Arabidopsis thaliana: one gene and its partner. The protein of the gene in region 1 purifies or fractionates together with the protein of each later gene. This does not show direct contact. Each region holds a gene or a part of one and is shown in the gene's direction. Other genes may lie near its edges. The genes, in order: AT3G27980 and AT4G28440.

Region 1 (4,702 bases):
TTGTTATTGAACTTTGTAATAATGCATTAATCTCAATTATTGATTAATTGACTGCTTTTTTTCCAATCACACATTACTTAAAATATGATTCCATTACTTGATATTTAAATTTTAGAAGAATATACATTTCTGTTAAATATATTAAACACTTTTATTTTTTAAAAGGTATGAGTTAAAAAAATCAACTTTAATACTAGATAAAAAAAACGAAAATTGAAAGAAAGCAAAATATTAGAAAAACTAGCACAAAACATACTGATATCTTATTGTATAAATTTTATTTTCAAAGTTAGTCCAGTCATTAATAAGATCACCACACATGACTCATAACTTAAACAATATGTAACAAACTTTTCATCTTGTGTGGCTTTTCCTTCATATCATATAAAAGATTTGGACAGTCAATCATATACATAATAAAAAATAACCTTATTTTTTGTAGTAATTACATAGGTATGCCATTAGAAATAAAAATTTAAAGAGTAAATTAATTCATCTTTTTAAAGGTTAATAATGTTTAAGACAATAAATTTTGTGATATGGCATATAATATTTTGAATAACTTTAACACTAACTAATTGAATATTTTCAATAAATAATCATACTCGCACTCATTAGTCATAACATCATCAATTTAATTCTTTTTTTATGGGATTATTATATGTACTTGATGACTAAAACTTTGAGAATATTTTCATGAATAATATGAATTTCTTCAATTGATTACAATATTTATCAAAAACAGCAGTTACCAAAAATAATAGTTTCATATTAAATTTTACACGTTGGTCATATAGGGAATCCTTGCGTACTGCATTCTGCATGGCATGTCAGCACAGTGAATCAGCATGTGATATAATTTTACTATAAGTAGAGCATTCATCAGTCGTGAATTTTCGGAATATATATTGATGATAACGTCGGTTGTTAAATGACACAAAAATAATGACGTCGTTTTGAGAACCGTTGTAACATCGTCGTAACAACAATATAGAAAAGACACAAGCATAAAAAAGAAGCCTACGCAACAATTACTACAACATCAATCTCCATATTGAATTGTCTTCTGATATACAATACCATTCCATGCCAAGCAGACTGAGACTTTATAAGTATGTGAAGCATCTCACGAGAGTTCTCAGTCAAATGCAACTCAACAAAGAAATCATAAGAAAGCATTGAGAAGCAAATTAGTTCATGAACCACATCACATCAGCATCCTGGAGACCAAAAAAGGAAGACAGTGAATCACTCAATAGAAGAACTGATAAGTTCTTGCTTTCAGTGCCAAGAGTGTAAGAAACATACCGCAAAAACAGACTACTAAACCCTTTTCAAGAACAATCCGAAGGAAATTGATTCTTCTCCACATCATTTAGCATCCAAAGCAATGACCACCATCTTTAGTTACAGCTCTACGCAGCACATCTAAAGCTTTCTTGTTCTTTTACCAATTCTAAAAATCTCAAAGAAGAGATCGATTCCAGATACAAGAGCTGCATAAGATTCATTCAAAGTTGTCAAAATTACAGTACCATTTTTTTACGGAGGAATGACAAGTTATGAGAGTGTATCTTTTCGGGTAAACATTGTAACGTAGTGAAAGTTGAGAGTGAATTGCGTAACAACCGATAGAATGAACCAAAAAGAAAAAAAGAACATCTTTTCTATCGCCCAAAAATAAATCTAAGGGTTTTCTATTTATTAGGTGTATATTGTCTTTTCTAGTACTAAAACAATAATGGCTAAGTCTCATCCTCACAAGAGATTAAGGTTGAGAATATATTGTATTGTTGTTAGCATAAACAAAAATAGATGAAACCAATTTCTACCAAATTCATTTTTTTTTAAGCCATTTAGAGTACATTGGGTAACAAGTATTTCAACTAAATTACTCTAAGACAATTCTTTCTATCTTTTATGAGCTGAAATATGGACCACTTTTCTTTTCTGTTCTTTGTGGATAATAAAACCAAACTTCACTGAATTATATCTTCAATTCACATTGCACTAAATTTTTAGATTGATCTCAAAATAAAGTTTTTTTCCTAAATATTGTCGTTTATCGAATACAATTAATTAAAGGATAAATTGATTAAGTTGCTTTGCTTTGTATATAAGACCACCATCGCTCCCTCCTCTTTCATCAGTTAAGATAATATAAATTCAGTAATTAAGAGAGAAGAAATAAATACAAAAATGTTGGTTAAAGTTTTCTCTTTTTTCATCCTTATGATAATAATGGTAATTGGCGTTAGCAAAGAATATTGTGATGACAAACAGTCATGTCAAAACCTTTTGTTGGAGCTTAAGGCGGGTTCATCGTCACTCTCGGAGATTAGACGTCGTGACTTATTGATCATCGTTTTGAAGAATTCCGTACGGAGGATCGACATGGCTATGATTGGTGTGATGGATGATACAAAACAACATGAAGAGATGGAGAATGATATGCTTGGTGTGAAGGAGGACACAAATCTATTTGAGGAGATGATGGAGTCGGTAAAAGATAGGATGATCCATTCAGTGGAGGAACTCTTAGGAGGAGAATTCCCACACTTGGCTTAGTAGCGTTCTTACTAGCTACATCACATGTATCGACGAAATTGGTGAAGGTGCCTATAAACGCCGGGTCGAGCCAAAGCTTGAAAACCTCATTTCTAGGGCAAGAGTAGTTTTGGCTCTTTTTATCTCCATTTCACTGAGAGACAACACCGAACTTATCTCGGTGATTCCCAATGGCCCTTCTTGGTTATTCCATGTTGACAAGAAAGATCTATATCTCAATGCTGAGGTAATAAAACAGAACCTTTATATTTTGAAGTTATAATTTGATAATCGTGAAAACCCATATTAAGGATTTACTTGATACTCAAGTAACAAATATTTAGGATTTTTATATTTACCTTTTATTGTAATTACTTTTAGGTAGATAATTCCTTTTCCTTAGAGATCAGCCCTTGTATAAAAATAGACCTTAAGGTCACGTAATGAAGAACACAATTCGATCGATATGTTTGACCCTCTTAACAAACCTTTTATCCTTTTTTTTCTTTCTTTCTACTGCTTATAGAATTTCTTCTGTTTCTTATAAAGCAGGCTCTAAAGAAGATTGCTGATGTTGTGGTCGCGAAGGATGGGACCGGAAAGTACAGCACAGTGAATGCGGCCATTGCAGCGGCACCTCAACACAGCCAAAAGAGATTCGTCATCTATATAAAGACAGGCATTTATGATGAAATCGTCGTCATTGAGAATACGAAACCCAATTTAACTCTTATAGGTGATGGTCAAGATTTAACCATCATCACAGGCAATTTAAGCGCTAGCAATGTTAGAAGAACGTACAACACCGCAACTGTTGGTAAGAATTTGTATTCTCTTCTTGAATAGTTTATAGTTTTCTCTTCTTTATACCAAACTATAACATTCTTAAAGACATTACTAATTATTCTAAAAATATGTTTGAAGCTTCTAATGGTAATGGATTCATCGGAGTAGACATGTGCTTTCGAAACACGGCCGGACCGGCAAAAGGACCAGCTGTTGCCCTCCGTGTGAGTGGTGATATGTCCGTCATTTATAGATGTCGTGTCGAGGGATATCAGGATGCCTTGTATCCTCATAGTGACCGCCAGTTTTATAGGGAGTGCTTTATTACCGGCACTGTAGATTTTATATGTGGAAACGCGGTGGCGGTCTTTCAATTCTGCCAGATTGTAGCAAGACAGCCTAAGATGGGGCAGAGCAATGTCATAACCGCTCAATCACGCGCGACTAAGGACGTCAAATCGGGCTTCTCAATTCAAAACTGCAACATCACAACAAGTTCGGATCTAGATACAGCAACCGTAAAAACGTATCTTGGAAGACCTTGGAGGAGATTTTCAACAGTCGCGGTTCTGCAATCTTTCATCGGTGATTTAGTTGATCCCGCAGGCTGGACTCCTTGGAAAGGAGAAACTGGTCTATCAACTCTCCACTACCGCGAATATCAAAATAGGGGTCCGGGAGCTGTGACTAGCAGAAGGGTGAAGTGGTCAGGATTTAAAGTTATGAAAGATCCTAAAAAGGCTACAGAATTCACTGTAGCCAAGCTCTTAGATGGAGAAACTTGGCTGAAAGAAAGTCGAATTCCATATGAAAGTGGATTGTAATAATGTTGTTCCATGCTTCACATGTATAACGTATAAAATAAAAGATATTATTCTTCTATAATTTTTTCCATGATTTTCTACAAAGATGGTAAGAAAGTGATATCTGGGAAATATCACGAAGGGCTTTACTATCTTGAAGGCATGGTTGTTAAGGCTGAAAAGAGTGTACCACATGCTGAAAATGGTGGAAAAAGTGTTGTCAAGGCTGTAGTTGGAGTGAGGAAGAAGAAGTCAAGGAAGGTGACTTTCAGCGTGAATTTAATTCAAAGGACCTACTCCATATGGCTTTGGAATCATCAGTTCAAGGTGGAGATGAATCCTCAACAGAAGAATCAGATTGTTTAGAGGAGGTTAAATCTGAGAAAAGTGAAGGACCTTCTGATGACAGCCACTGTTGAGAGATCAAAACAAGGAGTGGATGTTGTGTGATAGTAAAATGAAGGATGAAAGGATTACGATGCCAGAAAGTATCATTAAGAAAGGGGACACGTTAAAGTTGAAATGAAAGAGTTGGAAAAAGCTTCAAGGATTCAGGGAATGGAGGT
Region 2 (3,982 bases), on another chromosome or scaffold:
GAGAACCCGTTTAAGCAATCGGTTCGATATGGAAGCTGCGGAGGCTGCTGTGACGGCACGACGGAGTAAGACGAAGGGAGGGCAAAATGGTCTTTTGGCCTCGCCGTCGCCGAGGAATTTCCGGAGGTCGAGACTAAGGTCGGAGGCGATGGTAGATACAAAGGAAAATACGGAGCCAATTGTTGTCGTGACCGATGAAAAGAAACAAAACCAGAGGAAACAGAAGAAGTTGGGTCGATCTAAGAAGGAGAAGCACAGTTCTGTTCCTCTGTTAGCTTCTCCTAGTCCATCTTCAGATCAACGTATGTCCTTCCTCTGTCTATTAGCTCATTCGATTTCACTTTCGTGCTCTAATAATTGCTCAATGATTTGTGTAATTCAGCTCAAGATGTTTGTCAAGGTGATTTAGAGCGGATTAGAGAGAATATAAGCGATTTGATTATGTGGAGAGATGTTGCGAAATCAACACTTTGGTTTGGTTTTGGCTGTATATGTTTCCTATCTACTTGCTTTGCTGCTAAAGGATTTAACTTTAGGTAACATTGATTTCTCTGTCAAGGTTTATCTTTCTAGCTTTAATCATTTTTCACATTCATGAGTTGATAATGAAACTTTGTGTGGTTTGAAGTGTTTTCTCAGCGATCTCCTATCTTGGACTTTTGTTTCTTGGGGTATCGTTCTTGTCAAATACTCTTCGCCAAAGGTACAAACTTTTAAGGTCCCAGTACATAAATATCAGCTTGAACTGCAGTTGACTGAAGTTTTGATCCATTTGTTACCATAAAGGGTTACTGAAGAAGCGCGGAGAGAGCTTAAATTGAGTGAAGATGATGTATTACGAATAGCTAGACGAATGCTTCCCATCACCAATTTAGCAATTTCAAAGACGAGTGAGCTTTTCTCTGGTGAACCAGCAATGACACTCAAAGTAGAATTTACAAAACTTTGCCATTCTCATAAAACTTCTCTCCAATGAATGTGACTCTCACGTTGATTTTGTCCTTCTTACACTGTTTTTACTTTGATTTCAGGTGGCACCTTTTGTTCTAATGGGAGCTGAGTATGGTTACCTCATAACATTGTGGAGATTATGTGCTTTTGGTATGATTGTTGAAACACTATATGTCAACATTACTCCAAAGAAAGCTAAACTGTTTTCTTTAGTTGTATCTAGTAGAATTGACACAGAGTATGCATTGTTTCTTTAAACAGGTTTCTTCCTTAGCTTCACTATTCCAAAGCTATATTCATGTTACGCAAGTCAGCTTAACCAAAAAGGTAAACTCTATTAACAGACTGCGTAGCTCTTTGATGGTTCCAATGATTGACACTAAGGATTCTTTGATCTTTGCTTATGTGTAGTTGAGTGTGCACAAAGGAGATTTGTTGAAGCTTGGGGAGTTTGCACACACAAGAAATTCGTAGCAGGCTCTGCAGTTACTGCATTCTGGAATCTAACTTCTCTCAAGACCCGTTTTATTGCAGTGTTTATCATAGTAGTAGTAATCAGATACAGACGACAGAATCTACAGTTAGATTCCGAGGATGAGGAGGAGAAGAAGCAACAAGAAAAAACTCACCCGGAGCAACAAAAATCGCCGGAGGATAAGTCAACTTCACCGCGGTCAGCAGAAGAAGAGCAAGCGTTGGTGCTAGTTGCAGAAACCAAAGCACCAAAGAAGCTTTATTAGTCTAGTCACTAGTGTCTTTTCAGTATCCACCTGTGTAATAATATTTCACATTTACGTAATAATAAATAAAGAGCAGTCATTAATATCAAATAATAAATTGACACGTGACAAGCTCATGAAACTGTGAGAAGCAGGTGATAAAAACTCTCGTCCGTCTTGGGAGAGAGCACATCGTCGTCTTTTCTTTATAAACCCTAAATTCCCATTTCTCTTCTCCAAAAGTTTTATCGATTCCACCAAATTAGGGCGAACGCGAAATCTGGGTATTGTAATTTGAAGCGATGGCGACGACTGGAACTGCTGCGGTTGCGACGGGAACTTCGACGGTGAAGAGAAAACCGGTGTTTGTGAAGGTGGAACAGCTAAAGCCTGGAACGACTGGTCACACGTTGACTGTTAAAGTCATTGAGGCTAATATCGTGGTTCCTGTTACCCGGAAGACTCGTCCAGCGAGTTCTCTGAGTCGTCCTTCTCAGCCTAGTCGAATCGTTGAGTGTCTCATCGGTGACGAAACTGGGTGTATCCTCTTCACTGCTCGTAACGATCAAGGTTATTGTTTCTCCACTTTTCTCTTGCTTTATGGATATAGAAATGGTGTCTTCGTAGTTTATTAGAGTGATAAGTCTTATCCTTTGTTGTTCTCTCGTTTGTCTTAATCAATTTCTATTTTGAGCAAATGGTAAATGTGTTTCTATTAGTACTATTTGGTAAATGATGTATCAGTTATTGTATGTGTATTTAGTGATGTCTTTGTGAAATTGAAGCTTGAAAGAATCTTGGCCTTGAGGGTCTGTAACTCTGTATAGTCTTACCTATAGTGATGATGAAACTTGCTTGGTTAGATGTTGAGTTATGTTCAATTGAATGGTCTACATTATCCCAAAACTTTCATAGCTTTTCATAATGTGAAGTTTTGTTATACCAGTTTTCGTGCAATTGATGTGGCTACTGATTAGCTCTAATGATGTTATTGGTTTTTTTTGTGTGTGTGTGTGTGTGTATAGTTGATCTTATGAAGCCGGGTGCTACGGTGATACTGCGCAATTCAAGGATAGACATGTTCAAGGGTACAATGAGGCTAGGAGTTGATAAATGGGGACGCATCGAAGCCACTGGAGCCGCGTCTTTCACTGTCAAGGAGGATAACAATCTGTCTCTCGTTGAGTATGAACTGATCAATGTTGGTGGTGATCAGTGATCTTTTAGTATGTTTATGGAGGTTAACCCCTGAGAGTGTTGGGTTCTGATTTTTCTACCGTGAAGGTCTTTGATTTAGATGATGAAGATTGTATGACTGGTCCAGAGTTGCTTGTAGGAATATGCTTCTTCTTTTTTACCCTAAAATATGCGGTCATGATCTTGCTCTGGAGAACTATTGAGCCTGCGGTAATGGCGTAATGCAATTGTTCCTTTTAATTTGTGTTGATGTAAGTTAAAGACCATTGAGAGCTTGCTTGTGCACTATCTAATACAGTAAAAATAAGTTTTTCTTTCTTAAACTTTACTAATGTCTTTGTTTTTTCATTAATTACTATTTGATGTACACTATTGTACCCTCTCGGTTACAGAGAGTTTTGCCCAACTTTTTACATCGAAAGCATCTCATCCTTGATTAATGTCATTGTTAAGACAAATTGTAAGTGCATAAAATTCATCGACGGATCATAGAACCATTGTCTAGTTAAGTCGGTCTAATTCCAAACTTTATAAATCTTTGAAATCAGAATGTTACTTTGAAGATCAGCTTTGTAACACCAAAAACGAATAGTTAATGAACACAATACGTAGTGAAGAGAAAAAAGAAAACGAAATGGGTAATAACTTAATGGCATAAAGAAAGGCTTACAACACAGCAAAAATGTTCATGTTCCTAATCTTACCCTCACTATACCAATACAATCCTCTCCACGTATCATCATCCTTGAAAGGAACAAACGGAGAAAGAGTAGAGTCACTCCACTTCTTTGATGATCTTTCTTTTGCGCAGAGGTGCTGTGACCACTGTTCCTGGAGCACTGTGAGCTTTCCTTCGTGCTTCTTTTCTTCTCTTCGAATCGTTCACAGTTCGAATGATACCCATCGCTTTGTATATTGGTTTTGGCAAGTGCCTGTGTCTGTAATTCACAATAACCAAAACGTTACCATGTTACTATAGTTATCTTTTGACAATCTCCAGAGTTAAAGCATGGGATAAAACCACAGTTTTCATTGGTCATTTACCTCACAATGCGCTTAACCTCAGAAAGATGCTTGTACCGGTTCTTCACAGCCTCGTTGTACTCATGCTTCTT

Evidence for each region.
Region 2: the proteins of AT3G27980 (region 1) and AT4G28440 fractionate together in Arabidopsis thaliana (co-fractionation; one large-scale study listed by BioGRID). This does not show direct contact.

Annotation. Positions count from the first base shown.
Region 1 is NC_003074.8:10,391,705-10,396,406, forward strand, and holds AT3G27980 (Plant invertase/pectin methylesterase inhibitor superfamily), read left to right. Parts: upstream 1-2,199; coding exon 2,200-2,502; exon of another isoform or gene 2,503-2,542; coding exon 2,543-2,794; exon of another isoform or gene 2,795-3,111; coding exon 3,112-3,364; exon of another isoform or gene 3,365-3,471; coding exon 3,472-4,157; downstream 4,158-4,702. UniProt on the Arabidopsis thaliana protein: Acts in the modification of cell walls via demethylesterification of cell wall pectin.
Region 2 is NC_003075.7:14,058,082-14,062,063, forward strand, and holds AT4G28440 (Nucleic acid-binding, OB-fold-like protein), read left to right. Parts: upstream 1-1,814; 5' UTR 1,815-1,972; coding exon 1,973-2,240; intron 2,241-2,695; coding exon 2,696-2,889; 3' UTR 2,890-3,305; downstream 3,306-3,982. Other genes in the region: AT4G28430 (Reticulon family protein), read left to right, coding at 1-302, 383-536, 629-703, 787-928, 1,032-1,101, 1,213-1,278, 1,363-1,691; AT4G28450 (WD repeat and SOF domain-containing protein 1), read right to left, coding at 3,643-3,805, 3,912-3,982.